Linked DNA regions of Ovis aries. The protein of the gene in region 1 interacts with the protein of each later gene in a biochemical or structural test. Links are inferred from orthologs where the notes say so. Each region holds a gene or a part of one and is shown on either strand. Other genes may lie near its edges. The genes, in order: EGFR, HBEGF, NCK1, STAT3, SHC2, PTPN11 and SH2D1A.

The links.
Region 2: the proteins of EGFR (region 1) and HBEGF form a complex in vitro, tested with the Homo sapiens proteins (2 studies listed by BioGRID and IntAct, with this or other methods). The link is inferred for Ovis aries from reciprocal best matches to the Homo sapiens genes EGFR and HBEGF.
Region 3: the proteins of EGFR (region 1) and NCK1 form a complex in vitro, tested with the Homo sapiens proteins (2 studies listed by BioGRID and IntAct, with this or other methods). The link is inferred for Ovis aries from reciprocal best matches to the Homo sapiens genes EGFR and NCK1.
Region 4: the proteins of EGFR (region 1) and STAT3 form a complex in vitro, tested with the Homo sapiens proteins (2 studies listed by BioGRID, with this or other methods). The link is inferred for Ovis aries from reciprocal best matches to the Homo sapiens genes EGFR and STAT3.
Region 5: the proteins of EGFR (region 1) and SHC2 form a complex in vitro, tested with the Homo sapiens proteins (2 studies listed by BioGRID and IntAct, with this or other methods). The link is inferred for Ovis aries from reciprocal best matches to the Homo sapiens genes EGFR and SHC2.
Region 6: of the proteins of EGFR (region 1) and PTPN11, one has a biochemical effect on the other in vitro, tested with the Homo sapiens proteins (4 studies listed by BioGRID and IntAct, with this or other methods). The link is inferred for Ovis aries from reciprocal best matches to the Homo sapiens genes EGFR and PTPN11.
Region 7: the proteins of EGFR (region 1) and SH2D1A form a complex in vitro, tested with the Homo sapiens proteins (2 studies listed by BioGRID and IntAct, with this or other methods). The link is inferred for Ovis aries from reciprocal best matches to the Homo sapiens genes EGFR and SH2D1A.

The regions. Positions count from the first base shown.
Region 1 is NC_056072.1:1,092,638-1,096,900, reverse strand, and holds the start of EGFR (epidermal growth factor receptor), read left to right. Parts: upstream 1-1,463; 5' UTR 1,464-1,625; coding exon 1,626-1,713; intron 1,714-2,371; exon of another isoform or gene 2,372-4,263. UniProt on the Homo sapiens protein: Receptor tyrosine kinase binding ligands of the EGF family and activating several signaling cascades to convert extracellular cues into appropriate cellular responses.
Region 2 is NC_056058.1:49,205,813-49,209,741, reverse strand, and holds the start of HBEGF (proheparin-binding EGF-like growth factor), read left to right. Parts: upstream 1-1,129; 5' UTR 1,130-1,400; coding exon 1,401-1,446; intron 1,447-1,645; coding exon 1,646-1,819; intron 1,820-3,929. UniProt on the Homo sapiens protein: Growth factor that mediates its effects via EGFR, ERBB2 and ERBB4. Required for normal cardiac valve formation and normal heart function. Promotes smooth muscle cell proliferation. May be involved in macrophage-mediated cellular proliferation.
Region 3 is NC_056054.1:252,892,419-252,895,918, reverse strand, and holds part of NCK1 (cytoplasmic protein NCK1), read left to right. Parts: intron 1-1,884; 5' UTR 1,885-1,902; coding exon 1,903-2,128; exon of another isoform or gene 2,129-3,500. UniProt on the Homo sapiens protein: Adapter protein which associates with tyrosine-phosphorylated growth factor receptors, such as KDR and PDGFRB, or their cellular substrates. Maintains low levels of EIF2S1 phosphorylation by promoting its dephosphorylation by PP1.
Region 4 is NC_056064.1:42,164,038-42,167,537, reverse strand, and holds part of STAT3 (signal transducer and activator of transcription 3), read left to right. Parts: intron 1-1,196; coding exon 1,197-1,355; intron 1,356-1,498; coding exon 1,499-1,591; intron 1,592-2,467; coding exon 2,468-2,527; intron 2,528-3,500. UniProt on the Homo sapiens protein: Signal transducer and transcription activator that mediates cellular responses to interleukins, KITLG/SCF, LEP and other growth factors. Once activated, recruits coactivators, such as NCOA1 or MED1, to the promoter region of the target gene.
Region 5 is NC_056058.1:40,808,936-40,813,204, forward strand, and holds the start of SHC2 (SHC-transforming protein 2), read right to left. Parts: upstream 2,801-4,269; 5' UTR 2,764-2,800; coding exon 2,299-2,763; intron 1-2,298. UniProt on the Homo sapiens protein: Signaling adapter that couples activated growth factor receptors to signaling pathway in neurons. Involved in the signal transduction pathways of neurotrophin-activated Trk receptors in cortical neurons.
Region 6 is NC_056070.1:61,907,378-61,910,877, reverse strand, and holds part of PTPN11 (tyrosine-protein phosphatase non-receptor type 11), read left to right. Parts: intron 1-379; coding exon 380-447; intron 448-918; coding exon 919-1,070; intron 1,071-3,500. UniProt on the Homo sapiens protein: Acts downstream of various receptor and cytoplasmic protein tyrosine kinases to participate in the signal transduction from the cell surface to the nucleus. Positively regulates MAPK signal transduction pathway. Dephosphorylates GAB1, ARHGAP35 and EGFR.
Region 7 is NC_056080.1:108,291,088-108,295,299, reverse strand, and holds the start of SH2D1A (SH2 domain-containing protein 1A), read right to left. Parts: upstream 2,801-4,212; 5' UTR 2,626-2,800; coding exon 2,489-2,625; intron 1-2,488.

The DNA.
Region 1 (4,263 bases):
TAATGGACAATGGATCCATGCTACTGCATAAATGTTTCCTCAACAAAGGCTTAGGTCTCAATCTGTGGCCCTCGTGGAGTACATGCCTGGAACTTCTGTGAGCAGGTCAGCTATGAGAAGTACCCCTGGCTGCACTCCATGCCCACTGCTATGTGCCCCGTGCTCTTCTCTAGCAGACGGTGCTTTCCTGTGGCTGTTTTTTTACAAACCACTTTAAGTCCTTGCTTGGAGTGTTTGGAGGGGACTGAAGCCATGGCCTGCAGAATCTACACAGCCTTCTTCATCCAGGGGCTGGATGAGTTCAACAGGCTGAGTGGTCATCCTGATTCATTAAAATGAAGGAATAAACACAAATAACTCTAAATTTCCAGGAGCCCCAGGTTCCATGGACTTGCTGCCTGGGAAGGAAAGATGCAAGGTCTGCTCCTCCCCATAGGAAAGATCCTGCTCTAACTCCACTTATTTTAAGTTTGTGATTCCAGCTTAAATATCAGGGAGTCCAGAACTAAACCACCTGAATGTCACAGTGGCTCTTGTGAAGAAAAGGAGTCTGACTGTAGAGGGTGGAGGAGTCTGTCCAGGAGGAAGAGGAGCAGTAGGTTAGGGTGGGCTTTGCTGAAGGAATTTAGCTAAAAAGATCCTGCAGCCTGAGAAAGCCTAATTTCTTCCTGCCCAGTCCTTAGTGGGTTTCTCTGTCTTTCTCTTGCTTGAGTTACACCGTGGTGTCTCTGGGCGGATGGGCATCTAGCTAGTATTTATATTAAGCCTTTATTCTAAGCGCTTTGACTTTCTGAAGCGATTTACTTCATGGAACCCTGGCATACTCCTTCGGTGTCCACGCATTCATTCAACAAACATTTTTCCAAGGCTAGTCTCTGCCAGGAGTTGGGTGTCCTTGTTTCGTTTGAATTCGAGGGTGCTTGACGCGACCTGAAGGACCCTCGGGCTGGAGAGCGCATCTCAGAGGCCAGGCACCCACCCCAGCCACGAGGGCGCGGCTAACGAACGTCTTAGCTGCTAGGCCACTTTCGATCCCCACTGAGATCCCAGGGTGCTCAGAGGAGTTGGGTGCCGGAACAAAGCGGTGGTTTCCCCCCAGGCACCCTTATCTGGCCTTGGGCCTAGGGCTCAGCCAGTTTGCCTGGAGTTAGTACAAGTTTGCTCCGCAACTTGGAGGGAGAAAGAGGGGGAAAAGGCAACTTCGGCACAAAAGTGGCTCGAAGAAGGCTGGATCAGGGAGACCGCAGGCGCGTCCGCGGGGGACGCCCGGCTCGGCTCCTCACGGCCCCTCCTGGACACCGGGCTCCTGGGGCAGCCGCTGTCCGCCGCCCCTAGTCCTGCCGGCCGGCGCTCCTCGGGCGGGTTCCTCCTCGGCCAGGCGCGCCGTCCGCCCCTCCTCCCGGGCCCTCCTCCTGCAGCCCGGCCTCCCCGCGCCCCCGCCCCCGCCTCCGCCCCAGCGAGCCAGAAGTCCCGGTGGCTGGCGCAGCGCGCAGCCTCCGCCCCGGCTCGGTGCGCACGCCCGCGGCCCCACGCGAGCCCTGTCCGTCCCGCGCCGCCGTGTCCCGCGCCGCCGAGACCAGCGCACGGCGGCCGCTGCGTCCCGACCGAGTGCGGAGCCCGGCGCGATGCGACTCTCGCGGGCGGGCCGCGCGGCGCTCCTGGTGCTGCTGGCCGCGCACTTCCCGGCGAGTCTAGCGCTGGAGGAGAAGAAAGGTAAGGACGCCCGCGCCGCCGTCCTTCCCGTCCCGGGCGGCCGCGCTTTCCGCCGGGCTGCGGAGGAATGCGCGTCTCGGTTCCGGGCGGCGGGGCAGCCTCCGGCGCGGGGCGCGGGGCGCGGCGGGCCGCGGCGCCCGCAGCGCGGCTCTCCCCTCTGCTCTCCTGCCCTCCGCGGGCTGGACGCCCAGGCGAGCGCGTCCCAGCACGTGCGCCCACAGTCTGCCCGGCCCGGGGGCCGAGGGGGGACACGGAGTCCACCTCGCTCCCTCGGACCTCCAGGACCGGAGCGGCCCTCCGCGCCCGTCCCCGCACCCGCGCCCAGCCTCCGGTCAGGCTCCCGAGCCGGGGAGCCATCCTCCCAGAGCTGCCTTAACCTGGAGGCCCGGAAGCTCGTTCCGGGCACCGGCCACCTGTGCTGCGAGTCAGCGAGGGCCGAGGTACCCGCTGGCCCCAGGGGGCGGCTCGCACGGCGCCTCCACACCCGGGTGCGGCCCGAGCTGCCCCCGCCGTCCGCGCCCCTCCGGCGGTGGACTCTCCTGAGTGGTGGTTTCCCGGGACTCCCGAGACTCGCCCCCACCTGCAGCCCGTGGGCCGCGTGTCCCGGCTTCGAGGTGGATGGGACGGAGGGTGGGACAGGCCGTGGCCAAACAGCCGGGGCTTGGTGCGAACGCCCCAGAGGGGGGAACCCATCCTGGCTGGTTCTCCATGGTTTCAAAACAGGGCTCACAGCAAGCTTTCCTCCTCAAAATCCAGAAATTTTTGTGTCTGGGATGTGTTTTCTAGTTTTGAAGAATTTGACATTAAGCCAACCAAAATATTAAACTTAATTTAAATAAAAAAAATTGATGTCCGTGATTCACGTGTGCCAAATATCCAGACCCAACATGAGCGAGTCTGGCTTCGTGACTGCCGACCATAAACCCACTTGAAATGAGAAACATGCCTCAGAAGGTTTAATTGCCCAATTTCAAGATCGAGCAGCTTGGGTTCCGAGAGTCAGGTCTGTACTTGCTGTTGAGGTCATTGGCACAGGGTATGGTGCTGAGCGAGTTTGATGCGGGAGCGCTAAGGCATAAAGCAGTGGTTCCCAAACTTTGTTTCAAATTAGAATCACTTGGGATTTGAAACAGAACAAACGAAAAACGATGTCTGGCTCCCACCCCCAGACTTTGTCATTTCACTGGTCTGGGTTGAGACCTGATTGTATGAATTTTTAAAAGCTCTTCAGGTGATTCTGCTAGGCAGTCAAGTTTGGAAATCTCTGGCAACAGAGGTGAAATCTCTGGCAAGATTGCTGCCAATGTAAAAAGCTCTTTGGGAACATCTGGAGTTTTAACAATCTTGCAAAGGAAAGAGAATGATGATTTTATTTAAAAAAGAAATTAGTTTTTTCAATGAAAGTCTCTCCTCCTCTGAGTCCCAGGCTGTGGTCCAGCTCCTGAATCTGTTGACAACAGGATTCCCGCCTGAAAGCAGGTGGCAAGGGGACCCCATCCTTATTTTAAACCCTTGGAGTGCCTCCGAAGCATCACTTTTCTCATTTCAGAAATGTTCCCAGCTCTTTGCTGTTACCCTTCTGAACACTACTATTAATGCTTAAAGATTCTTTTCTAAGAAATATATAAATACCACTTAAATTGCCTGTTAGTCCCATGTTTGTTCAAAACAGAATGCTTCTGAATACGATAGTGAGAGTAGGTGAACAAATGTTAAAGTAACGTCAGAAGACCAAAATGTACGGGGCAAATTATTAACAGCAAGTGTTAAAGACCTGTGTTGATCAAATTTGGTAAGTTTTATTCTAGAACATTTACTCATTTTAGAGAGGCTTCTTTGGTTCTAAGATACAGTGTCCTTTGTTCTCACTGCACTTGGTCCTGTCGGACACCGTTTTAAATGTCCTTTTAATCTTTACATCAACCATACAAGTTGGCTCTTGTCATTCTATGTGGGGAAACCGAGGTACAAAGAAGTAAAGTGACTTTCCCGCAGCTTGCAAAAGGCAGATGTTTGTTTGTTTACCTGAATTTTTAAACTCTGGCCCTCTGACCCTGGAGCCCTTCCCTGGGTGCTGCCTGTGTTGATTTGTTGTTCTGGTTTTAGAGGAGCTCTGTCGGTGTGTGTGATGTAGGATGCTGGCAGAGGGAGGAAGAACACTGGGGATGAGGAAGCCTCCTGCCCATGGTCTGGACTCCTTCTCCCCGTGCTCAGGAGGCTCCTTTTGTGGAAGAACTCTGTCACAAAGTGAGCGATGAATGTGGAGATTGCTGGAGGAATGTGGAGCAAGCTCCTTGCTTTTGAAAAACAGAAAGGGGAAGGTGCTGCTCCAGAAGTGATCGTTCATGGTATTCTCAGCTAGGCCATCCGGCCCGGCCCCTCCTCAGATGATATCCTTGGCTCAGTAGATCTGGGCTGTATAAAAGAGAACAAATTTGGGGATTTTGAATCGTATCCAGGGTGAAGCCTCCCTTTCTTTAAGGAGACCAGAGGATGCCCACTCAGTACTGGCCTGAAGGCCAGGAGCCTGTGTCCTCATTCCCATGCTGT
Region 2 (3,929 bases), on another chromosome or scaffold:
GGCAGAGCCCCATGGACTCCTGCAGAATTATGGATGGGGAGGGAGAGTGGAACAGGCTGTGTATAAATAGCAGGCCTGTTTTTATCCCTACACATGGGCTGAAGCAGGCAAGCAGCTCTATCTGGCACAATTTGAGGGCTCTGAATGCCAACCCAGCCTTGTGTCATATAACTCCCGCCCCAGCATGTCCCTGGGAGCTGAAATGCCTACTGAGAGAGTTATTTCTTTGGGTTAGGACATTGACTCCAGAGGACTTCTGTAAAAATACATAGATTGGAAGAGAAACACATCAATCTCCTGGCACCTGTTGAAGGTGGCAACCTAGGCCAGCCAGCTGGGTCCTGTGAGAGGGGGCTCAGCTTTTCTGTTGAAGAAGATGGCATTCAAAGACAAAGAAAAGTATGAAGCTTTTTCACAGCCTGTGTTTCTTCAATCCCAGAAGCCTGGGAATTATAATCCAGAGTTCAAAAATCCTAAAGGAGACTATGTCATCTGGGACAAAGATGGAAAGAAGCCACTCCGGTGGATGAAAGAATACTAACTTTCTTTGCTTTTTCTGGGTTGATACCAGATGACTGCAGCTGCAACTCTGGTAACCTTAGGCTTACGACACTTGCTGGCATTCATGTGTTTAATTTTTAAGTGATAAATGAATTAATTATTATTTGCTCCTTGATTTGTGGGTAGGCAAAGAAGCAGGTTTCTGAAACTCAGAAGAAGACATGGGCGGAGGTCTCTGGTTTAGAGCACGGATAACCAGAGGGACCAGGCCTGGAAGAGAAGCAAGAACGAGGGGTGTCCAAAGGCGAAGCGCAGCTCAGCGGTCACAAGGCTGCCGCGGCGGACCAGCATTTGGGGAAAGGTAGGAACTGGTCCCCGCCACCTGCCGGTCAGCAGCCCTACCCACAGTCAGGCCGCGGCTACACTGGCCTAGTCCCAAAATATGTGAGCGCCGCCCCTTTCTCCCGCCCCCTTTCCCCGCCGCGCCCGCGGGGTCGGGGGCTGAGCGGTCGGCGCCTGGAGCCCGGCCGGCATCCCAGAGCGGGAGGGGGGAAGGGGCCGCGGGGGGCGGGGCGGAGCCTCGGCGCCTCCTGGAGCCTTATTCCAGGCTGCACGCCGAGAAGCGCTCAGTCGACCCAGGGAGCTGCGCGCGGCAAGCGGCTGGCTCTGTTGCTTGAGGCACCAGGGCTCGGGCGGTCGGACAGACGGAGTGAATAGAGAGACGCCCAGCGGCCGGGAGCTCCGCGCAAATCCCAGGCAGGCTTGCACCCAGAGGCCAGCAGCCGACCGTGCCCGCCGGGATCTCCAGAGATTCTCTCGCCCGGCTCCCGTGCCAGCGTCCGGTGGCCGCCGCCCCCCAAAGTGATTGCTGCCTCGCCTCCTCCGCCGAGTCCAGGACCATGAAGCTGCTGCCGTCGGTGGTGCTGAAGCTCTTTCTTGCTGCAGGTAAGCGGGCTGCCGCCGCTCCCGGGGGTCTGGGGGGATGGGGACTCTCTGCTGGGGGCACAGGGGAAGATCGCTGCAGCGTCCCCGGCGTGAGCCACTTGGTGGGGCCCGTGCTCCCTGGCTGGCTGGAGCCGGCCGCGGTGCATGGCTACTGGGGTCTGGGCTGGGGGTCTGAGGCGGCCTCGCCCCTTTCCCGCAGTGCTTTCGGCGTTGGTGACTGGCGAGAGCCTGGAGCGGCTTCGGAGAGGCCTGGCTGCTGGAACCAGCAATCTGGACTCCCCTACTCAATCTACGGACCAGCTGCTGCCCGCGGGAGGTGCCCAAGGCCGGGAAGTCCTGGACTTGGAAGAGGCAAACCTGGACCTTTTCAGAGGTGGGTGTGGGGGCTGCCCATCCTCGGACCCTGGTGATCAGTTGAACTATCATAGAATCTGGTATTTATGCCGATTGGGCACACCTGTGGTTTGGGGCTTTTCAAGAGAGGACTTCAAGGAAAAGCCTCTTGGCCTGACAAGCTCCCTGGGGGATCCTAGAACGTAGGTCCTGTTGTCTTTCTTGCCCTCCGGTCTCACATGCCACATTGCTGCCCTTCTGCATACTTGGGGGCAAATTGAGACAGGCAAGGTGCTTGGGTTTTGTGTGTTCTTCTCTGAGGTAAGCTGGGTGACAGGAACAAGGACTGGTTGAGATGCTTTCCCTAGAGTTTCTATGTAAAAATGTGCACAAGATCTAATTTCCACATTAATTGACTATTATGTATAAAATCACAGATGTGGAGATGCTAGGCACATACAAGGTGTGCAGGATTAGTCTCCATCCACCTGTCTCCAGGTTTGGGAAACCGTGGGGAATGAGGAACACTTGGTCCTGCCAGGTGAGGCCAGCACTCTTGGGGAGGCTGTGAATGGTGAGCACTGGAACCCTAGAGAGCTGTTTTGATATGCTGGGTGTCCACAAGTCCTTCACAAGGCTGGATACTTCCTGACCACTTGGAGACCCTGAGAAGGGCTCCAGAGGAGGAAGGGCCAGGTGGGATCCTTCAACCAGCAAAGGTGCTGTGGCCAAGTACATACAAGCACAGGGCAGAGTCCAGAGGCTCCAGTATTGCCTGCTTTCCTGCCCCCAGTCACCTGCAGAGATTCTTGAGGGTGGAGCTGGGACTGAGCCCTGGAGCCCTGGAATGACTATATTTGGTTGGAAAGATACCCACCTGTTCTAACTCCGCCTGCTTCTCTGCCACGCTTCTTTTTCCTTACCCAGGGATTCCCTTAGGTGCTGTCCACGCCAAAGCTGAGGCTGGGCTCTCACTTTCCATCCTCTCACAGTAGCCCTCTAGGGGGCGGGGGTCACCCCTGCCTGAACAACCTGGATTCTCCTGGCCCTCTCCTAGGCAGGGCAGAGCTGGGCTGTGACTCACTCTCCACCCACACAGCTGCTCCTCATACCTCGCAGACCTGACTCACTGCTCTCTCTCCCCAGCAGGAGCTTGGCTGTCACCCTGTCACTCTCTCCCTCCCTTTTCTGATTGGCTTGTTCTTCCTGCCTCAGTTTTACCACAACTGTGGTCACTAATTTCCTCGGACCATGTGCCTCTTCTGAGTTCTGAAGGGGCCTGGGTATGCACTGTAGGAGCAGGGGACTATGGGACTATTGGCACCTGTCTCTTCTCTTTCCTCAGGTTTGCTGGGCAAAGACTATTTTTCAAGTCTAGGGATCCTGTCACCTGAAATAAGTAACTGTTACCATTTACTAAGTGTCTCCTGTCTTCTAGTCACTTAACATGTTATTGTGAATTAATTAATCCTGCTGCAACCCTCTGAAATAGGAAAGCCTGTTCACTTTTCACCAAGAACCCCAAGGTTCAGAGAGATTAAGGGACTTGCCCAGGATCACATGACTGTAATTCGAGCACCATTCTGCTGACTTCAGAGCCCATTCATTGTCTGGTTCCTGGCTCAGCATCCCAGGTGCTCTGGGCTTGTCTGGAGGAGGACACTGCTGGGGTGTATGAGGCAGCTTAGTGTGTTGGGGAAGAGTGCTGGATATGGAGTCCAGAGACCACATTTCAGATCCCAAACCTGCATGATCTTGGTCAAGTCACTGCCTTTTGGGACCTCAGGTTTTTCATCTGAAAATGGAAAGCCATATATTTTGAAGTAAATTCTACTTCCAGAATCCTAAGCCTTCAGTCTAATAATGTATGATGTTCATCCCTCTGCCAGACATGTGCCTATAGCCATAGACAGCAGGCACCTTTTCTTCTGCTGGGACAGGGGAGGGAAGACTGGCGTCAGACCCCTGGGCTGATGGGCATAGCCCAAGGTCAGTCCCAGCTGGATGTCTGTGTGAGATTGTTTTTCCCCTTTGAAGCATGGAAAGAATGGAGAGAGCCATCATTGTTCTAGTTCCTTTTGATAGTTCTTTGCTCTCCGTCTTTCTGCCTCTTGGGCACCCCATCCTAGAAAGCAATAAACAGGACATCT
Region 3 (3,500 bases), on another chromosome or scaffold:
TTTATTTTATTTTATTTTTGAGGAAACTATCTTGTTTTTCATGGTGGCTGCACCAATTTACATTCCCACCAACAGTATAGGATTTTTCTCCACACCTTCTCTGGCATTTATTATTTGTAGACCTTTCAATGATTGCCATTCTGACTAAGGTGCGATAGTGCTTCATTATGGTTTTGATTTGCATTTTCTAATAGTTAGTGATGTTTAGCGATGTTGAGCATCTTTTCATGTGCATGTTGGCCATCTATATGTCTTCTTTGGAGAAATGCATGTAAGTCTTCTTTTGATTTTTTTTTTTTTTTTTACCGAGTTGTATGAGCTGTTTGTATATTTTGGAAATTAAGCCCCTGTCAGTTGCATTGCTTGCAGATGTTTTCTCCCAGTCCATAGGGTATCTTTTTGTTGTGCTCGTGGTATCCTTTGCTGTGTAAAAGCTTGTAAGTTTGATTAGGTCCTATTTACTTTTATTTCCATTGCCTTGGGAGACTGACCTAAGAAAATATTGGTTTGATTTGTCAGAGAATATCTTGCTTATATTCTAAGAGTTTTATGGTGCCATATCTTATATTTAAGTCTTTAAGCTATTTTGAGTTTATTTTTATGTATGGTATTATGAGAGTGTGTTCTAACTTCATTGATTTACAGGTAGCTGTCCAGCTTTCCTGACACCACTTGCTGATGAGACTGTCTTTTCTCCATTGTATATTCTTCCCTCCTTTGTTGAAGATTAATTGACCATAGAGATGTGGGTTTATTTCTGGGCTCTCTATTCCTTTTTTCATTTTTTAGTCTTGTCAGAACTATATCCATTTTTTAGTCATGACATCTAACTTTGTCTTGAGCCTTTCTCCTATGTCTTTGCTGTTTCATTAAATTCTGCTTTTATTTGTATTATTTCCTTTTATCTGCTTTTCTTTATGTTCTTTTCTAACTGAAAACAGATGATCTGTTCATTAATTTATTTTTAACTTTTCTTATTTTTCTGATGTAACTATGTATAACTACAGATCTCTTTTTTATATACCTCTTTTGCTGCATCACACAAAGTTATTCGTATAGTCTTTAATTTTACTTATAAGTATTTTCAAAATTCTGTTAAGATTTCTTCTCTGACTCATCAGTGTTTGTTATTGTTTTGCTCAGTAGTGTCTGACTTGGTGACCCCATGGACCATAGCCCACCAGGTTCCTCTGTCCGTGGGATTCTCCAGGCAATAATACTGGAGTGGGTTGCCATTTCCTTCTCCACATCAGTTTTTAGAAGTTTCTAAACCTATAAGATTTTTCAAAAGTTATCTTTGTTACGATTATCAGAGAATATGATTTAAGATACCAAGTACACAAAAAATGTGTAGAGATTTTTATGGCATTTGATTGGATTTTGTACATACTCTTGTTTGTGTTCTTCTGTGAAGTTATATTTGCATATGTTTATTGCATCAGACTTAATAGTTGCAATGTCAGTTCTTCTTTAACCTTTCTGATTTTTTGTCGTCTTAATTTACTACCGAGATAAATATGTTAAAAGTTAAACCTTTATGACAATGGATTTGTCAGTTTTTTTCTTGTTTTGTCAATCTATTTTGGACCTATATTAATAGGTATACATAAGCTTAGCTGTTACATACATATATTGAATACAGCCTTTTATCGGGATATAGTGACTTTCTTTATCACTAGTGATAGCTTTGCCTTAAAGTCCTTTTGTGTGTTATTAATATATCTATACCAGTTCTGTATTGATTAGTATTTGCTTGGTATTTAATTTTTTTCCCTGTTTTTATTTTTTAACCATTCACTACTTTAGGTTCTTAGGTGTGTTTCTCTTGACAAGCATGTGGACAACTTCTCAACCTTACATAAAATATTTTCTGTGTGGTTGCAGTGCAGAAGGTGCTGAACAATGGCAGAGGAAGTGGTGGTAGTAGCCAAGTTTGATTATGTGGCCCAGCAAGAGCAAGAGCTGGACATCAAGAAGAACGAGAGACTGTGGCTTCTGGATGACTCTAAGTCCTGGTGGCGAGTTCGAAATTCCATGAATAAAACAGGTTTTGTGCCTTCTAACTATGTGGAAAGGAAAAACAGTGCCCGGAAAGCATCTATTGTAAAAAACCTAAAAGATACCTTAGGTAAGCTATTTTTGTTTTAAAACAAGAACAGCAATACTTTCTTTCTAGTGAATGCTAGAAATTGGTTCTTTGTAGAATTTTGGCATCAGTGGGCAGAACTGACTAGAATATCCCAAGCTGAGATTTCAGCTAGGCAAGGTAAGTTTGGCTCATAGCAAGGGTATTCAAGTCAGGTGTGTTCAAAAAGACCAGTGAAGGTCATTTTCTGTAACTCTAGCTAGTGGAACTCACTCTGATTTTCTATCAGGGGCTTCTTGAGCCGTAGGTACCTATTGGAGTTTAGACAGATTCTCCATATAATTAAGATGAGGATAAATGAATGAGATGCAGAATATCCTCCTTGTCATTAAGGTCACTTATTTTACAGGATACATTGATGGATTTTACATCTAATGGCTTCAGTTCAGTTCAGTTGCTCAGTCGTGTCCATTTGCGACCCCATGAATCGCAGCACTCCAGACCTCCCTGTCCATCACCAACTCCTGGAGTTCATTCAGACCCATGTCCATCAAGTTGGTGATGCCATTCAGCCATCTCATCCTCTGTCGTCCCCTTCTCCTCCTGCCCCCAATCTCTCCCAGCATCAGAGTCTTTTCCAATGAGTCAACTCTTCGCATAAGGTGGCCAGAGTACTGGAGTTTCAGCTTTAGCATCATTCCTTCCAAAGAAATCCCAGGGCTGATCTCCTTCACAATAGACTGGTTGGATCTCCTTGCAGGCCAAGGGACTCTCAAGAGTCTTCTCCAACACCACACTTCAAAAGCATCAATTCTTCGGCGCTCAGCCTTCTTCACAGCCCAACTCTCACATCCATACATGACCATGGGAAAAACCATAGCCTTGACTAGACGGACCTTAGTCGGCAAAGTAATGTCTCTGCTTTTTAATATACTATCTAGGTTGGTCATAACTTTCCTTCCAAGGAGTAAGTGTCTTTTAATTTCATGGCTGCAATCACCATCTGCAGTGATTTTGGAGCCCCCAAAAATAAAGTCTGACACTGTTTCCCCATCTATTTCCCATGAAGTGATGGGACCAGATGTCATGATCTTCGTTTTCTGAATGTTGAGCTTTAAGCCAACCTTTTCACTCTCCTCTTTCACTTTCATCAAGAGGCTGTTTAGTTCCTCTTCACTTTCTGCCATAAGGGTGATGTCATCTGCATGTCTGAGGTTATTGATATTTCTCCTGGCAATCTTGATTCCAGCTTGTGCTTCTCCCAGCCCAGTGTTTCTCTGATGTACTCTGCATATAAGTTAAATAAGGAAGCTGATAATGGCTTGCATTTTGATATTTGCTTTTAAAAACAAACTCTTTTTGTTCTTATATTTGATAAAAGAGTTTTAAGTTGTGGATCGTTACCATATATTAG
Region 4 (3,500 bases), on another chromosome or scaffold:
ATAGCTCTACATGAGATGCCTGTTTGTTCATCTAACTAACCCTGAGCTTTGCTCATTGATTGAAAGCAGTTTTAAATGCTTTCTAATCAGGGAACCAAATAACTTATAAGTTCTAGGAATGTATTGAGATGTTTCTATAACATCTTATGGGAAAACCAAGCAAACATTTTGGCCAACCCAGTAGGTGCCAGAAGGGAGTCTGTGAGCTCAGGAGTCCTGGTGCTGTCCTTCTCCACCCCTTGCCTTCCACTCTGTCTCTTTGGGGTCTTTACTAAACTAGTGGGGGACCATCAGAGAGAGCCACTGATATTCTCCCTCCTTGGGGGCAGACATAATCAGCCTTTGTCTCCCTGTCTACTTTTTCTGTATGCATGTTATCAATATTTGGAAACTAATGTCACATCCAGTCATCCATGGAAGATGAGGGCTCCTGGGGATCGTGCAGTTCAACCCTGTCTCTCAGGCAAGGGGATATCAAGGCCCACGAGGGTGAAGGGACCTGGTCAAGCTTGCATAGACAGTGAGGGACAGAGCTGTTCAGACCTATCTTTTTGGGCTGTCAGATATCCTGTGTTTCCCCAGTACTCACATTTGGTACAAAAACAAGTTAGGCTGAAGAAAGTGAGCACCAAATCCCATATTTCATGTTCTAATGTGTTAACTTTCCGTTGGTTACCTCACTCCTAGTGGTGTAAGTTTTGGCACGTCTTCCTCTGTGTCTGCCTCCTTCTTTGAAAAGTAAACTTTTAGGAAGTGAAATGAAGGTTGCTTAGTTGTGTCCAACTGTTTGTGACCCCATGGACTGTAGCCTGCCAGTCTCCTTGTCCATGGAATTCTCTAGGCAGGAATACTGGAGTGGGTAGCTGTTCCCTTCTGGCAGGCCAAAGTTAGGACTTGCTACTTTCACTGCCAGGACCGGGGTTCAATCCCTGGTGGGGATCCTGCAAACTATGCTGCATGGCCAAAAAAACAAAAAGGGCAAAATAATTTTCCCTTTTCTAATCTAGTGCCACTCAACTGTGTATTTAGAAATGGTCAATGTTATGCTACTCATATATTCCCATAATGAAAAAAATGCTCCTTTCTTATGTCGGATGACTGCATGAGAGTACCTGTGGTATTATTCCCTTCCCCTTCTCCAGCTCATTTATATACAACCACTTAGGTAACCGAGAACATCCTTATCCTGTTGGCAGGATAACCTCATTAGCAGAATCTCAGCTTCAGACCCGCCAGCAAATTAAGAAACTGGAGGAACTGCAGCAGAAGGTTAGCTACAAAGGGGACCCCATTGTACAGCACCGGCCAATGCTGGAGGAGAGAATCGTGGAGCTGTTTAGAAACTTAATGAAAAGGTAACATAGAGCCGTTGCCCGTTTCCCCCATCACCTCCCCCACCAATGTTCTTCAACGAGAGCTTGTTCAATTTCCGAGGAACGGGACAGGGACCAGCCCACTGCGTCTTGTGTGACCCACTGCCTTTCTCTGTCCCCTCCAGTGCCTTCGTGGTGGAGCGGCAGCCCTGCATGCCTATGCATCCTGACCGGCCATTAGTCATCAAGACCGGTGTCCAGTTCACAACTAAAGTCAGGTGGGCTGCGGCACCTCCTCTTCTGGCAGATGTTGTATCAAGGGACACCCTCAGGGCCAGAACAAAGTTGGTGGGCAGTTGTTCTTTACAGCCGTCGCAGGCAGTACTGTGATGGATAGGGAATTTTTTGGTGTAATATCAACTTGCTCTGTGATTGTCCTGTCAAACGCTAAAGAACAGGAATCTCTCTGAGGTTACCTGGATATATTCCTATGATTCGGTTGCACTGTATTCCTGATTCCAGGCCTAATGTCTTAGGTCATAGCATCTCCATGTACCATTCGAAAGGAGCAGAATAATGCCAGTTATCTTCTATTCTTTGAGCCTACTTTTTCCTGAGCATTTGAAGGGGAAGAGTAAAGCTTAGTGATAGTAGACACTAAGAGGTCACAGGGCCGGTGGGTGGGGGACCTGCAGGTAGAGAATTACTTTCACATTCAAGTCAGAACAGGTAAGCTGGGGTTTGCCCTTCTGCAGTGAAATTTCCCTCCTCAGAAAGGTAGTACGCTGTTGGGTTTCCGGTCTAATAGAAAGAATACCGATTTCAGAGCATGTATTCCTGTAATGTTTTTCATGATATGGCTTTCATTATCCTTTTGTGTGTCTCTCATAACTTTGTCCAAGTTCTTAGTTCTTAGGCTTTTTTTTTTCAGTCCCTTTTGGCCTGAAGGGGGTGATGCTTGGCTTAAAATGAAAGGAAGCACTGGCAGGAAGAAAAATTTGGGATTATGATTCATCTCTTTAGAATTGAAGAGTTATGAATTTTAGATTCAACTAGAAGTTGCTGGGGGAACCTAGTGGCTGTTTTTTAAAACTGGATTTTTTTTCCTTTGCTCTGAAACTTTTTTCCTCTTTTTTTTTTTTTTTTTGACATAGATTGCTGGTTAAATTCCCTGAGCTAAATTATCAACTTAAAATTAAAGTGTGCATTGACAAGTAAGTACTCTTTATCTTAGCTCCTTTTTTTCTTCCTTTTCTTCAAATGAGGGACAGAGAAACGAGAACTTTGATAGACATCATGTGAACTTAGAGGCTTTATCTATATTCAGAGATCTTCGGGTTTTTTTTTCAAGTTTTCAAAAGCCTTGCTGTACATTGTCATTTACGTGCCTGAACAAAACCACGAAGCTGGCGGTAGCGATTTGAGTTGTGATTGCCATTGTGACCTCAAGTCCCTCTTTCTTTGTTTTTTCACTTATAAATGTAACTTGTGCCTATTATGTAAAATTGAGAATATATGGAAAAATTGATTTTAGTTGTTGTTCCACACTTTACCACATAATGGAATCCTCTTCCAAATTTGACAGTACCTTTTAAAAAATTAAAATGCACTTACCCTCTGAAGACATTAGGAAAGAGAAAATGTAGGTGATATAATTATTCATCTGGAAATTCCATGAGAATGAACTAGAAAATAGTTATGCAGCCAGGGACTTGAGGAAGGTGGTAGGTTTTATAAATGAATAAGCAAAAATTAATGACTTTAACCATGAATTAGCATAAAAAATCACCTTCTCACTAAAAAAAACTGACCATCAGAATAAATTCTAGATGTATCTTAAAAGCATAGGCAAGGACTTCCCTGGTGGTCCAGGGGTTAAGAATCTGCCTTCCAGTGCAGGGGACACAGGTTTGATCCCTGGTCTGGGAAGATTCCACATGCTGAGGGGCAACTAAGCCTGTGAGCTACAACTCGAGAGTAGTCCCTGCTCACCGCAACTACAGAAAGCCTGAGCACAGCAACAAAGACCCAGCACAGGCAATAAATAAGTAAATAAGTTAATTAATTAAGATTTTTTAAATGAATAAGCAAATGTGTCATGTAATGGCAGTAGAATGGCAACCACTTTTAGAGAACAGTTTGGCAGTTTCCTGAAAAGTTAAACTTGCCCCTATCCTACAGCCCAAC
Region 5 (4,269 bases), on another chromosome or scaffold:
TGGCTGCAGAGACTGAGGCTCCCAGGGGAACAGAGCCGGACACTGGGGCTGATTCAGACTCCCCACCTGTCCCCCTTTCAGGGCAGCCACATCAGGGCTCATCTCCAGCACAGACGCTGTAGCCCCTCCTCCCCACCCCCACACTGCCCTGCTCCAGGGCATCTCCCAACAGTGCCCCCAACAGTGCCCCAGCACCCCCTGGCTCTCTCTGCTGCCCTGCCAACCCCACCCCAGCCCACTTCCACAGGAAAGCTCCTTTCAGCACCAACGCTGCTCTGTGACCCTGCCTAGAACCATCCAAAGCCAAGCTTGCCCACACAGCCCCCAGATCTTACTCCTGTGCTCCTCTCTCTGCACCGGCCCCACCACATGGGTCTCCGGCCAGTCCCCAAACCTGCCAGCTGAGCCCCTGCCTCAGATTCTCTTTCCCCAGTTGTTTCATGCCTAGGGCCTCCGTGGCTTTAGGGCTCAGCCTAAATGTCATCTCTGAGGGGCACCCCACCCACCAACCCTGCTAAGAGCAGCCAGCAGTCTCTGACATCACTTGATTGGAATTTCTGCACAGCACCTGCCAATATCTGCCACTTGCCTGTTGTTTGTCTATCTCTTGTTTATTTACCATCAGTCTCTCCCTCTAGAAACCTGAGCCCCATAAGAGCAGGGATCAGATGGGTGGGCCCCATTTCCTAGCATGCCATCAGCACCTGGCAGGCTCTGGCATGCATTATTAATAAATGTCTGCAGCATCGATGGCAACGTCCAGACCACTGGAACAGTCCAAAAGCCTGCACCCCAACAACATGAGCATCTGAATTCTGAGCACTTCTAATCCCCACAGCCACGGCCTCCAAGGGGATGTAGTGGGAAGCCCAAGGCATTGCCTGGGAAACATCTCGCTACAAAATCAGTGTTGAATCCAGCGAAGCTGACATTCAGCAAAAGAAGGGACCATGATCAAGTCAGAAGACTCCAGGAGAGAGGAGCAGGTCTAGAATGTGAGGCAGCCTGAGGCCTGCTGGCCAGTCCAAAGCTCTTCCTTTCTAACCCACTCCCAGGGAAGCAGCGGGCCTGTCTGGACCACACTTGGACGTGCAGAAAGTCAAGGCCACTGAGAGCCTCAACAAAGCACCACAAACTGGGGACTTAAAACAACAGAAATGTAAGCCTGGCCCTACAGTTCTAGAGAGGGGAAGCCAGGGATCCAGGCATGGTGGGGGCCCTGCTCCCTGAGGGGAGGGTACTTCCAGCCTCTTCCAGCGTCTGGCAGTGGCGCGCGGCCACCCTGGACGCCCCTTGATTTGTGGGTGCGTCACTCCATTTCTCTCTTTGTTGTCACGGGGCCCCTCCCTGAGCGTTTGTGTCCGAATCTCCCTTTTCTTAGGAGGATAGCAGAGATCGCAGTAGGGTCGCGGTACTCCAGTGTGACGTCATCTTAACTCGATTATATCGACAAAGACTCCATTTCCACATAAAACCATATTCTCAGGCTCAGAAGGTCAGGAATCTGAGGAATACTAGTCAACCTAGTATGGGGTGGGTGGAGGGAGGCTGTAAAAGAAGCGAAGACAAAACACCACACGCAAAGACACAGGACTCCAGGATCCTGGTCCCCAGCCCAGACTGAAACGCTGTCAATATACATCGGACTCTGATGTGACAACGAACTGTGGCTGGGCGGAGTGGCCGGTAGCCTGGGGCGTGAGGAAGCATTTCACGGCGAGGCATCCCACGGGCCGCTCGCCGCTTCCTGATGGTTCATCAAAACTACCCACAGAGGCAGACGTTCATATAAAACCAGGACAAATAAAGACCTGCTTCTCTGCAGCGCCTTCCGAGGCCCCGCGATCTCTCACTTGGAATTAGGGACCTAGCGGGGCTCGGCCCTTCTGCACCCCACGTTGCCCACGGTCTCCGACCCTTCTGTCTAGAGGGAGTTTTCAGTGGGGATCTGGGTACCCGGCCGCCCCCACCCGCGTCTTCCGTCCCCAGTCTCACCCAAGAAATGGGGGGCTACGCCTAACCTGCGCATGCGTGCCCCCCTCCCACCAGCCGCCCTCTCCCCGCCCCTCCCCACGTGACGCCGTGGGAACCTGGACCCCAGCGCCTCCTGGATTGGGGTGGCCAGCAGAGCACGGCGTGGCAGTTGGGGTCTAGGGTGAAAGCGAGAGGAGAGATGGACAGACACCCGGCTTCCCGGGTCCAGAGTGTCCAAGAGAGAGAAGTGGGGGATGGGAACCCCCGCGTCCAGACGGAGGCTCGGGGGAGGACGCGGTCCCAGGGTCCCGCCGACGCACTCACCCTAACGACGTAGGAGACCCCGGGCCCCAGAACCCTGGCGTCCGGGTGTAGCCAACCGTGCGCTGGCTTGTGGATGAAGCTGCCTTTGCGGATCCAGTCGTCGGCGGAGGCATCCGGGGGCCCGGTCGCCCCCCGCGCGCCCCGCGGTCCCCGCACCCCGGCGGCCCGGCAGCGGCTGAGCGCAGGCAGCGGGCAGGGCGCGGCGCAGCGCGGCTCGCAGGCGCCCAGGACCGCGGCCGCCAGCGCCGGGACGCCGGCAGGGCTGGCCGGCTCGGGGTCCGGGTCGGCGGCCCCCGCGCCCCCCGCCGCCCGCGCCGCCGCGGGGCCGCGGCTCAGGAAACCAGCGGGGGCCGCAAACTTCCACTGCGGCATGCGAGGGAGCAGCGCGCAGAAGGTGGTGGGCGCCTCCGGTTCTGGGGCTGCGGGGGGCGCGGGGGCCGCGCGCCCGCCGGGACCCTGCGTCATGGCCGCGGCCGCCGGACCGAGCCCGACCGGGCGCTGCGCCTGGTGCGGAGGAGGCCCTCCCGCTCCCGCGCGTTCGCTCCCCGCCCCCGGCCCGGTGATGTCATCCGTCCGGCCCAGCGCGCAGCCGCGGGGGGCTGCGCCCCTGGGACCACCGGCCCTCGGCGCCCCGGTGCCCGGCGGGGAGACGAGAAACTGAGGCCCGCCGGAGGCACGGGGCTAAATCGGGGTCTGCAGCCTGGGAGGGAGCGAGGTTTCGAACCCAGCACCCGGGCGGTGGCCCCTTACTTAGCCCCCCACAGGTCCCCCAAGTTCCTAAAAGGACGGAGGTGGGAGGAACAGAAATCTCCTTTCTTCTCTTTTCGAAAGGAGGAAATTGAGGTCTGGAGAGGAATGGAGGCTCAGTCAAGGCAGGAGAGCGCCCCGGACCCCCAGGTCGTCCCCCTCCCTTCCCACTGCTGCTGACGGAGGAGGTACTTGAAAATCAGGCCCTGCTAGATTTTGTAACTGGGAACCTGAGATCAGCGAGGGGAAGGGGTGTGCTCTGGGGCACACAGCGCACACTTGGACCCAGTCCGGCTGGCTGCGTCCGAGCGAGCCGAGTCCCCGCTACGCGGCCTCGCCCTGGGCCTCAGTTTCCCCGGCTGTAAGCCGGGGGAGCGGACCAGAGGGTCTCGGGCTCCTCCTGCTGCGTTTCTGCCGAGCCGCTTCCAGCGTCCACCCCACAGAATCCCAGGACCCAGCCTCCAGGACGGGGGCTGGCCGGTCCCCCCGGCCTCTCCAGCCCCGCCCCGTGCTGGGCCGGCTGCCGGGAAACAAAGGGAGGGGGCCGGAGCCGGACCCGGTGGGGATGGAAGCAAAGGAGTGGTGAGGCCGCGCGAGACCGGATCGATAAATTAGAGTGGTGAGATCACCGCTCGGCAGCCGCCCGCGGGCCGGGGGAGGAGGCTGGGGATGCGGGCCGGAGGCTCGCGCGCGCGCGGCCGTGATTGGCCGGCGAACGGGGCGGGGCGGGGGCGGGGGTGCGGCGGGAGGCCTGAGCCTCCAGCCGGGAGAACTATTGTGCTCCCGCGGCCTGGGAGGGGCGTGGCCCTGGGTCAGTGAGGGGGTCGGAGGACGTTTGTTGGGGTCTGCAGCCCCCACCTGGGCTCTGTGCTGTGTCTCTGTTGCGGACTACAGACTTACAGACTAGTGGACTGTGTGAGAGTTGCATTGTGTGTATATTCTGTGCGGATGTGACTGTGTGTGTGTGTGTCTGTGTGTGTGAGAGAGGAGGGAGTCTGGGTCCCCGTCCAGGTGTGTGTTGGGGGATCCTGGTATGTTTACCGTTGTGTGTGTAGGGGTCCTGGTGTGTACACAGGTGTGTGTGTAGGGGTCCCAGTGTGTAAACAGGTGTGTGTAGAGGGGCTCCTGGCATGTGTCCACCTAGTCTGGTGAAGGGTGTGTGTTGAGGTTTGGCACCCAGGCTGGGGAAGAGGGGCCAAGTAGGAGAGAGCTGACCCCCAACTC
Region 6 (3,500 bases), on another chromosome or scaffold:
ACATTATTTATTCAGTTCTATAAAAGCTCCCTTTTATTGAGCCCTTGCTCCATACCAGCATCTGCATCAGTTGTTTTTCACCCATTACTGATATTTGATACTCACAATAGCCCATTTCACAGATGATGAAACAGAGGGTCAGAGAGGTTAAGGGATTTGCCTCAGGCACACCGTGCTGGAGAAGCTGGGCTCCAAGTGCAGGATGGACTGAGTCCAAAGCCCTGGGCTGTTTGCTAATATGTTCGCAAATATAAATAGACAGTCTTATAAATACTCCCAAGAGCAGACATTGTTTCGGTTAGTATTAATAGCTTGGTTTTGAGCATAAAACCCTCATGAATGACTCCATTGTCCTCGCTCTTCGTCCTTCTGCCCACAGTGCTGGAATTGGCCGGACAGGGACGTTCATTGTGATTGATATTCTTATTGACATCATCAGAGAGAAAGGTAGGTCATTTGGAGGGCAAGAAGCTATGATTCCTGTTTTCAGTTTATGCAAGGAAAGTGCTAGTGAAAATAGCCTGCAGAAGAAAATTGAACGTTAAAGTATTTTCACAAAAATCTAGGCCAGAGACTTCAACTTTCAATGTGTTTGCCCAAGAACAGAAGTGATGCTGTTTGAGCTTTTGGCATAAAACACAGCCTAGGAGAGTGGTGGTCTCTGTCCATCTGCTCGCTCTTTGCTGATGGTACAGGGTGGTGGTGTAACCTGTGGGGTTCCTCACTGCCGACCCCTGACCCTATAATCTTCTAGGATCGTTGTTGTTGGTCAGAAGGCCAATGCCGTAGCCCTTAGAACAGCTTCGGTTAAAACACGAACGTGTAAATTTGCTTTATCTCTGCTCAAAGTTGTGCTTTAAACTGCTTCACCTTGTCTCTGCAGTTTCTCCTGATGCTCCGTGGTGCTTTGCTTTGTAGGTGTCGACTGTGACATCGACGTTCCCAAAACCATTCAGATGGTGCGGTCACAGAGGTCAGGGATGGTCCAGACAGAAGCACAGTACCGATTCATCTATATGGCCGTCCAGCATTATATTGAAACACTACAGCGCAGGATTGAAGAAGAGCAGGTACCAAGCCTACACGGCTGACATGTAGATTTTTGGTGTTTTTTTCTGGACAGCTTGGCTTGGATATGCTCTCCTTCTGAGAGAGAATACAGGCTTTGCTAGATAACTGTCTTTATCTGAAAAGGAGAAACAAGTTCCCAACCAGGAAGGACCTCTCTGGAAATGAATTATTCCCTACCGCACAACTCTGATTTTTCACTATGGCGTAGCTCAGGGAGGGGCAACAAGCCTGACAGATGGGTTTGGGATTTCCCCAGGTTCACCTGGTAGGCTTAGAACTCCAAGCCTCAAAGTTTCCAGCCTGTTCCAGTTTTGATCCAGGCCTTATTCATCCTGATTCCATCTCTTAAATGAATGCCTTACTCTTTATAGCACATGAGGGTTGGACCCACCAGTGTGGTCAAGTTGGAAACAGAAACATTTCCATTTTTAATAAGCCATACATAATGAACAGTGTGGCACTGGAGCCTTTCCATTGGAAGCTCTTTATAACACACAAAGCTGAGTTCCTGAGGACTGAGGAGACTGCTCTTTTGGGAGCTGTCCTTAGCTCACTGCCCACCCCCAACCCCAGCCCCATCACCGTGCTGCTCACTGGATAGATGTGATATCTAAACAGTGGTATTTGCCTTCTTTACCCTGTTTATCACCTTCTGGAAAATTCAGCTTCTCAAAAAGGGGACCTACAACCTTACTGAAAGGCTTCTAGCCTAGCAGCGCAGCGGCCACGTTATCAAAGCGTGGTTAGCCCGAGTTAGTTAGTTCAGCAGGTTCTCAGTCCATGCACAAATACTCACTAGGTTGTTTCCTTGTACAAAAACGTCTTCAGAAACAGTGTGGATATAGAAAGGCATGGTCAAATGATTAACAAGCTCTGCTGTGGTTTTGAACTTTACCGCTTTAGGTTGTTGTCTTAATGTAAGTGCTATGAACTTAGAATAGAACTTAGAAGTGTTAATCTCTCTGTCATGTCTGACTCTTTGCAACACCATGGACTGTAGCTCACCAGGCTCCTCCACCCATGGAATTCTCAGGGAAGAATACTGGAGCGGGTAGCCATCTCTTCTCCAGGGGATCTTCCCGACCTAAGGATCGAACCCAGGTCTTACGCATTGCAAGCAGATTCTTTACTGTCTGAGCCACCAGGAAGCCTTTAGATGGTTACTGTAGGCTATTTCATATTCACCTTCCCAAATCACACTCCTGATTTGGGCCAGGAGTACTTACTTAAAGCATGAAGTTGCCTCAAAAGAAGGACTTCTAATAAGTAGAATGCAGTACCACTGGTACAGATGGGAAATTACTTGGGAATATTTTGAAGACCATAAGGTCGTCTTGTTCAGAAAAGCTGGGGGAAAAGCTCTCTCTTTCATTCAGAAGCTTTGGTTTTGGAGAATTTAGGGACTTTCCCTCCCAGCTTATCTGGCACTTCACGTCTTCCTGTTACTTACCGTATATGGTCCCTCTGACCCTAAATCTGAAGTTGTAATTTGGATTTAGGAACTAGTTAAAACCAAAATACCTTTATTGCTGCCCTTTTGTTGGGGATGAGAGGTAGGGGAGGTAGAATCACTTAAATATTGCAGAATGTAGACTATAGAAATTGGATGTCCCCAGGAATCCCATCCCAAGAGTACCGAATGAGTATGTGTATTCGTCCACTCAGCCAATACTTGTCAGTGCCATTATGTGTCAGCGCATTAGCTATTTGGTATATGAACCTTTGGATTTAAAAGAAAAATATGTAGGCTAAGATTGTATTTGTGTTTTTAAAATTAGATTTTGTGGGGACTTCCCTGGTGATCCCAGTTGTTAAGACTCCATGCTCCTAAGGCAAGGGTTACAGCCTTGATTCCCTGGTCAGGGAACTAAGATCCCGCATGCCAGAGTGGGGCAAAAAATAAATTAAAAAAAAAATCCACTAATAAAAAGAAATAAAGTAGATTTTGTGGTATGTTGTTTCTTTCAATATACTGTTTGATTCAATGTAGGAACTTGCTACTTGATTTGGGACTAGAGTAGGAAGTACTTTAATTTAGTAGGTTTCAGTGGCAGACTTAAAAATATTACACCCATCTGATTTTTAGATTAAGCAAACGAACAAAACTCATTCAGCATAATTAATTATGCTGAAATCCAGGTATTTCCAAAATTATTAATATGAAGCATTAAGGACCTTTGGGAGTAAAAGACTGCTACAGAGGAATAAATGGAAAAAAAGAAAATGACAGTCAGAGGTGGAGAGCAGGGTAAGGGAAGAAGAGACACCAAGGCAGCGTTGGAAGGAGGAAATGCAAAACAGAGGTGGGAATCTAGGGGAAATGCAAATGAGCAAGACTGAGAAAATTTTCCAGTCTTTATATACCGATCTCACACTCTGCTGTTTATTTGGAAGTTGATTTCTTTTGTTAACTTCCATTTACAGTATTA
Region 7 (4,212 bases), on another chromosome or scaffold:
CTAAAAAAGAGGAAATGAAATGTTTACGTTTATCAGAAGGGATCCTTGGCTCAAAAAAAAGCTGAGAAACTGTCATAAAAGGCACTGTATCATTGTGTCTTCCCTCTGCAGCAGTCTGGCCATTAGCCTCTAGGACTTGGAGGCCCAGTGTGCCCACTGAAAGATATGTTAGGGGGACTCCCAATTTGCCGACTATTTTCTGCTACTTCATAAAAAGGTTTGCATGGAGAACCTACAGTCATAAAAACTGCATTTAGGCAAGATTCACTTTGGACAAAAACTTAATCTGCGAATTTCCCATCTGTCTAAGTTAATTCCTTACGTGGCCCTGGCCAATTTGAGTAATAGGCTAAGATTATCCTTCTCTCTTGCATCTTTTACCAACTATAATCTTCTGCAGAAGATAGAGCACACATTATTATTCTTGTTTTAGAAATATGGAAACCAAGACCTACAAAAGTTGAGTGATGTCCCAGAGGCCACATCCTGGCCTCCTGATATCAGCCCAAAAGCCTACTGCCATAAAGAATTTGCCTTGACAGTTCATTCATTAATTCAGAAACATTTATTGAGTGCCTGTTGCATGCCTCATGATACCTGTTGCATGCCAGGCTGTGTTCCTGGTGCGGGAGATGGTGTCTCTGCCCCAGAGAGATTACATTGTAGCAGGAGAGCCCAGCAAGACAAAAGTAGACAAGCAAACGTCAGACAGCTGAAAGCTCCCAGAAGAAAACTAAAGTGACAGATTATAACTGGGACAGGGAGAAGGGACTTATTTTAGAGGCTAGTCAAGGAAGTCCTCTCTGAGAGAAGAGGGAGAAGGAACAGTTAAGTGTGAAGATCCTAAGCAAGGAGCAGCTTGGCAAGCTCGAGAAACAACAAAGAGGCCAGTGCGTCTGAAGTCTTAGGAACATCCTGCCACACACTGTCCCCGGCTCTTCCTTCCCTTCCCAGGCCTTTTGTACCTTAATTTTTACCTCTAGGTTGAGGGTCCCATTACCTCCTTTGGTGAGCTTTCCTAAAGAAGCTCCTCTCACCAGTTCACTCACTCCTCCACCTTCTATTGATAAGAAAAGAGCCTAGGAATACGAGTTGGCTTTCACTGACCTACCCCAGTTTTCACTTTCGAGAAACAATAATATAAGGAAAACCTAAAATCTGAGCCCAAGGGATTCACTAGCTTGCACATATATCCCTTGTAGCTTTTATAACAAACGTTTTTAGCATGGCCTGAGAGTTGCCACAAATATGCCTTGCCCATTTAAAAATAATACAATAAACAATGAAAATCCTCTAACACCAGGCTCAATACAATCTCTCATCAATGACCTAAAGGAACTTCAAAATCTTGCCATGTATCATCAGACACCAAAATTACAACCAAGCATTTTCCCTCATTTTGTTTCTGTCTAGAAGCTACTGTACAGGGCTGCTGCTTTCATGAGTGTTTTTACCCTGCTAACAAAGAGTGATTGAGCTAGGGACTTCCTTAGAAACACCCCGTGAGTACTTAAAGATATTGACTGAAATATATATACATTTTATATATATATATAATATATTATAATAAAAAGTACTGAAAGAGAGTGAAAAAATAATAACAACAACAGCTTACTTTTACTGAACACTTAGTATGCATCAGGTCCAGTGCTAAATTTTCTACGTGCATTACAGCATTTAATGCTCAGTCCTATGAGGTAGGTAGTAATATTACACTTTTTGGACAAGAAAACTGAGGGACTGTGAGGTTAACTTGCCAAAGCCAGCATCAGACTAGCACAAGATTAGGTCTTAGCTCTGCCTGACCCTGGAGCCCTGGAGCAAAGATGAAGGTGCATCTGATTCAAAATGGGGCTTTAGACCAAGAGATGCTTAGGTAAAGGGCAAAGCTGAATCATACCAGGGTGCTTTCCCTCCATGTCCTTTACGACTATTGTCTCTCCCAGCGTTTATCACGGAAAGGCCCTATTTCTGAAACCCCACCCCACCCCCCTCCAACTCCTGTAAAGAAAGCTAATTAAGCAAATCCAGAGAGGTGGTTTTATTCAGAAACGTCCCTCTCTCCCACATCCTGACCTAACTGGTATTGCTGTCTTAAAGGATTCCATTTCTTAGTCTTCTTCCTCTCCTTGAATTTGAAATCTTCCTTTGGGAAGATACCTTCAAAGCCATTGCCAGAGGGCTGGAGAGAAAGGCCTCTCCTCTGAGGAGCTGGTGGCCCTATATCTGGCCATTCCCTCATCCCAGGCCTCCACCTTGCTGGCCTCTACCAGAGGTCCAACCTGAAGCCAGGAGCCTGAGTCCTTTTGGCAGCAAAGGTAAATTCTAGGCTCCTTTTCCTCCACTGCAAAGAGCATTCCTACAGCCGCCCCCAAAGGCGCTGGAGAAGACCCTCTGAAGAGCAGGAAGCCCAGGCGAGACAACCCCAGTGAGGGACGTGAGCCGCACGGTGGGCAGTGGGGGCTCCAGGGCCCCGTCATGTACTCACAGCACACACAGACAGTACACGCCGGGAACACTCTCGCTGTCCCTCAGCAGATAGCTGCCATCCAGGCCCGTGGCGAGCAGGAGCTTCTCCCCCGTCTCCCGGCTGATCTTGCCATGATACACAGCCACCGCGTCCATGGCCAGGGGACAGTAGCAGGGAAAGGCCGCTGTTGCTGCTGCCGCCGCAACCAGGCACGACTCAGCCACCTGCCTCCCTGTTCAGCCAGATGTTCAAAAAAGAGAAAGGAGCGCCCCAACAACAGGATGTTGTCTACCTGCCTCACAGCCTCCTTCTCGCACTTCAGTGAAAACCAGGTCAGCAGTTTAGCAGCTTGGCTACTGCCCTAGGGTTCAATTCCCCCCTCCCCTCTCTGCTCCGCCTCTGCCACAAAAGGGTTGGGGTGGATGGATGGACAGAGAGGGGAGGACTATTGGAAGAAGGTCCTTGCAGGATGTGGCCTGTGCTCCCAATGCATGCAGACACGAATGCCTGGTAATGTTTCTGTCCTTGTAGTTTTCCCAGGAAGGCCACCCTGACTTAGCTTAAATAGTCCCCAAAGGGGTTAATGAGACAGGGAAGCCGTGTTGATCTTCATGTGGGGCAGAAACATACTGACAGAGAATGAAAGGCCCAAAAGCTCTGAGACCAAAACACAGAGGTCATCAGTATTGTCAGTGGGTGATCCCCACTGAGCACAGGCAGGAGGCTCCTAGGGAATCAGAGGCAAGAAGTGAACAGCGGACTTGGGATCCACTGCCTCCCCTCCCCAAACCCTCCCCCTTCTCTTTGACTCCTCCTAGTCATCTCCAGCAATCTTGATCCTGAACAAATCAAACATTTCCAGGCTTCTTGTCCAAGATCCCAAAGTGCTGGTTGAGGTACAAAAATCAGTCTGTGTCCAAAGATGTTCCAGATGTATCTATTTGATGGGCCTTAGATGAGAGAATAAATCATTTCATTGGTGTTTTGCCTTCATGCGGACTTGTCTGTGCCTTTTGACATACAGGGCCTACCTTTTAGCATTTGGGACATCAAACTTAAGTCCATTGTGAGTGTTGATAATTGCGTTGTATCTTTTATCATCTGTAGTTAGTAGAGAATATGGTTTTTGTTCAATTGATGCTAAGCTATCAAATTTTTTAGAACCTTTCAACCTTTGTTTCCTTCTCTCTTGTATTTCAAGATGTGCTGTTAAGTAATATTTCCCCCAAACTTCCTCATTTTTCACTAGAACGAGACCTTGTTTAATGTTTGAAGCTGAATGCTCTTCTACATTTTTTCTTTTGAGTGTGTAACATACTTTTCTTTTTCTTTTTAGATTGTTTTTGATGTAGACCATTTTTAGTCTTTATGGAAGTTTTTATAATATTGCTTCTGTTTTATGCTTTGGTTTTTTGGCTGCAAGGCATCTGGGATCTTAGCTTCCCATGCATGTATGCTAAGTCGCTTCAGTTGTGTCCAATTCTTTGCAACCCTGTGGACTGTAGCCCACCAGGCTCCTCTGTCCATGGGATTCTCCAGGCAAGAACAGCGGAGGAGATTGCCATGCCCTCCTCCAGGGGGTCTTCATCAAACCCACACCCCCTACATCAGAAGGTGAAATCTTATACCACTGGACCACCAGGGAAGTCCCTGTAAAATACTTTTTAAAATTAAAATTTAAGTAGCTGAAATTATGTTGTCTGTTGTGTCTCTTCAACAATGTCACACCTAGTTCCTTGAGA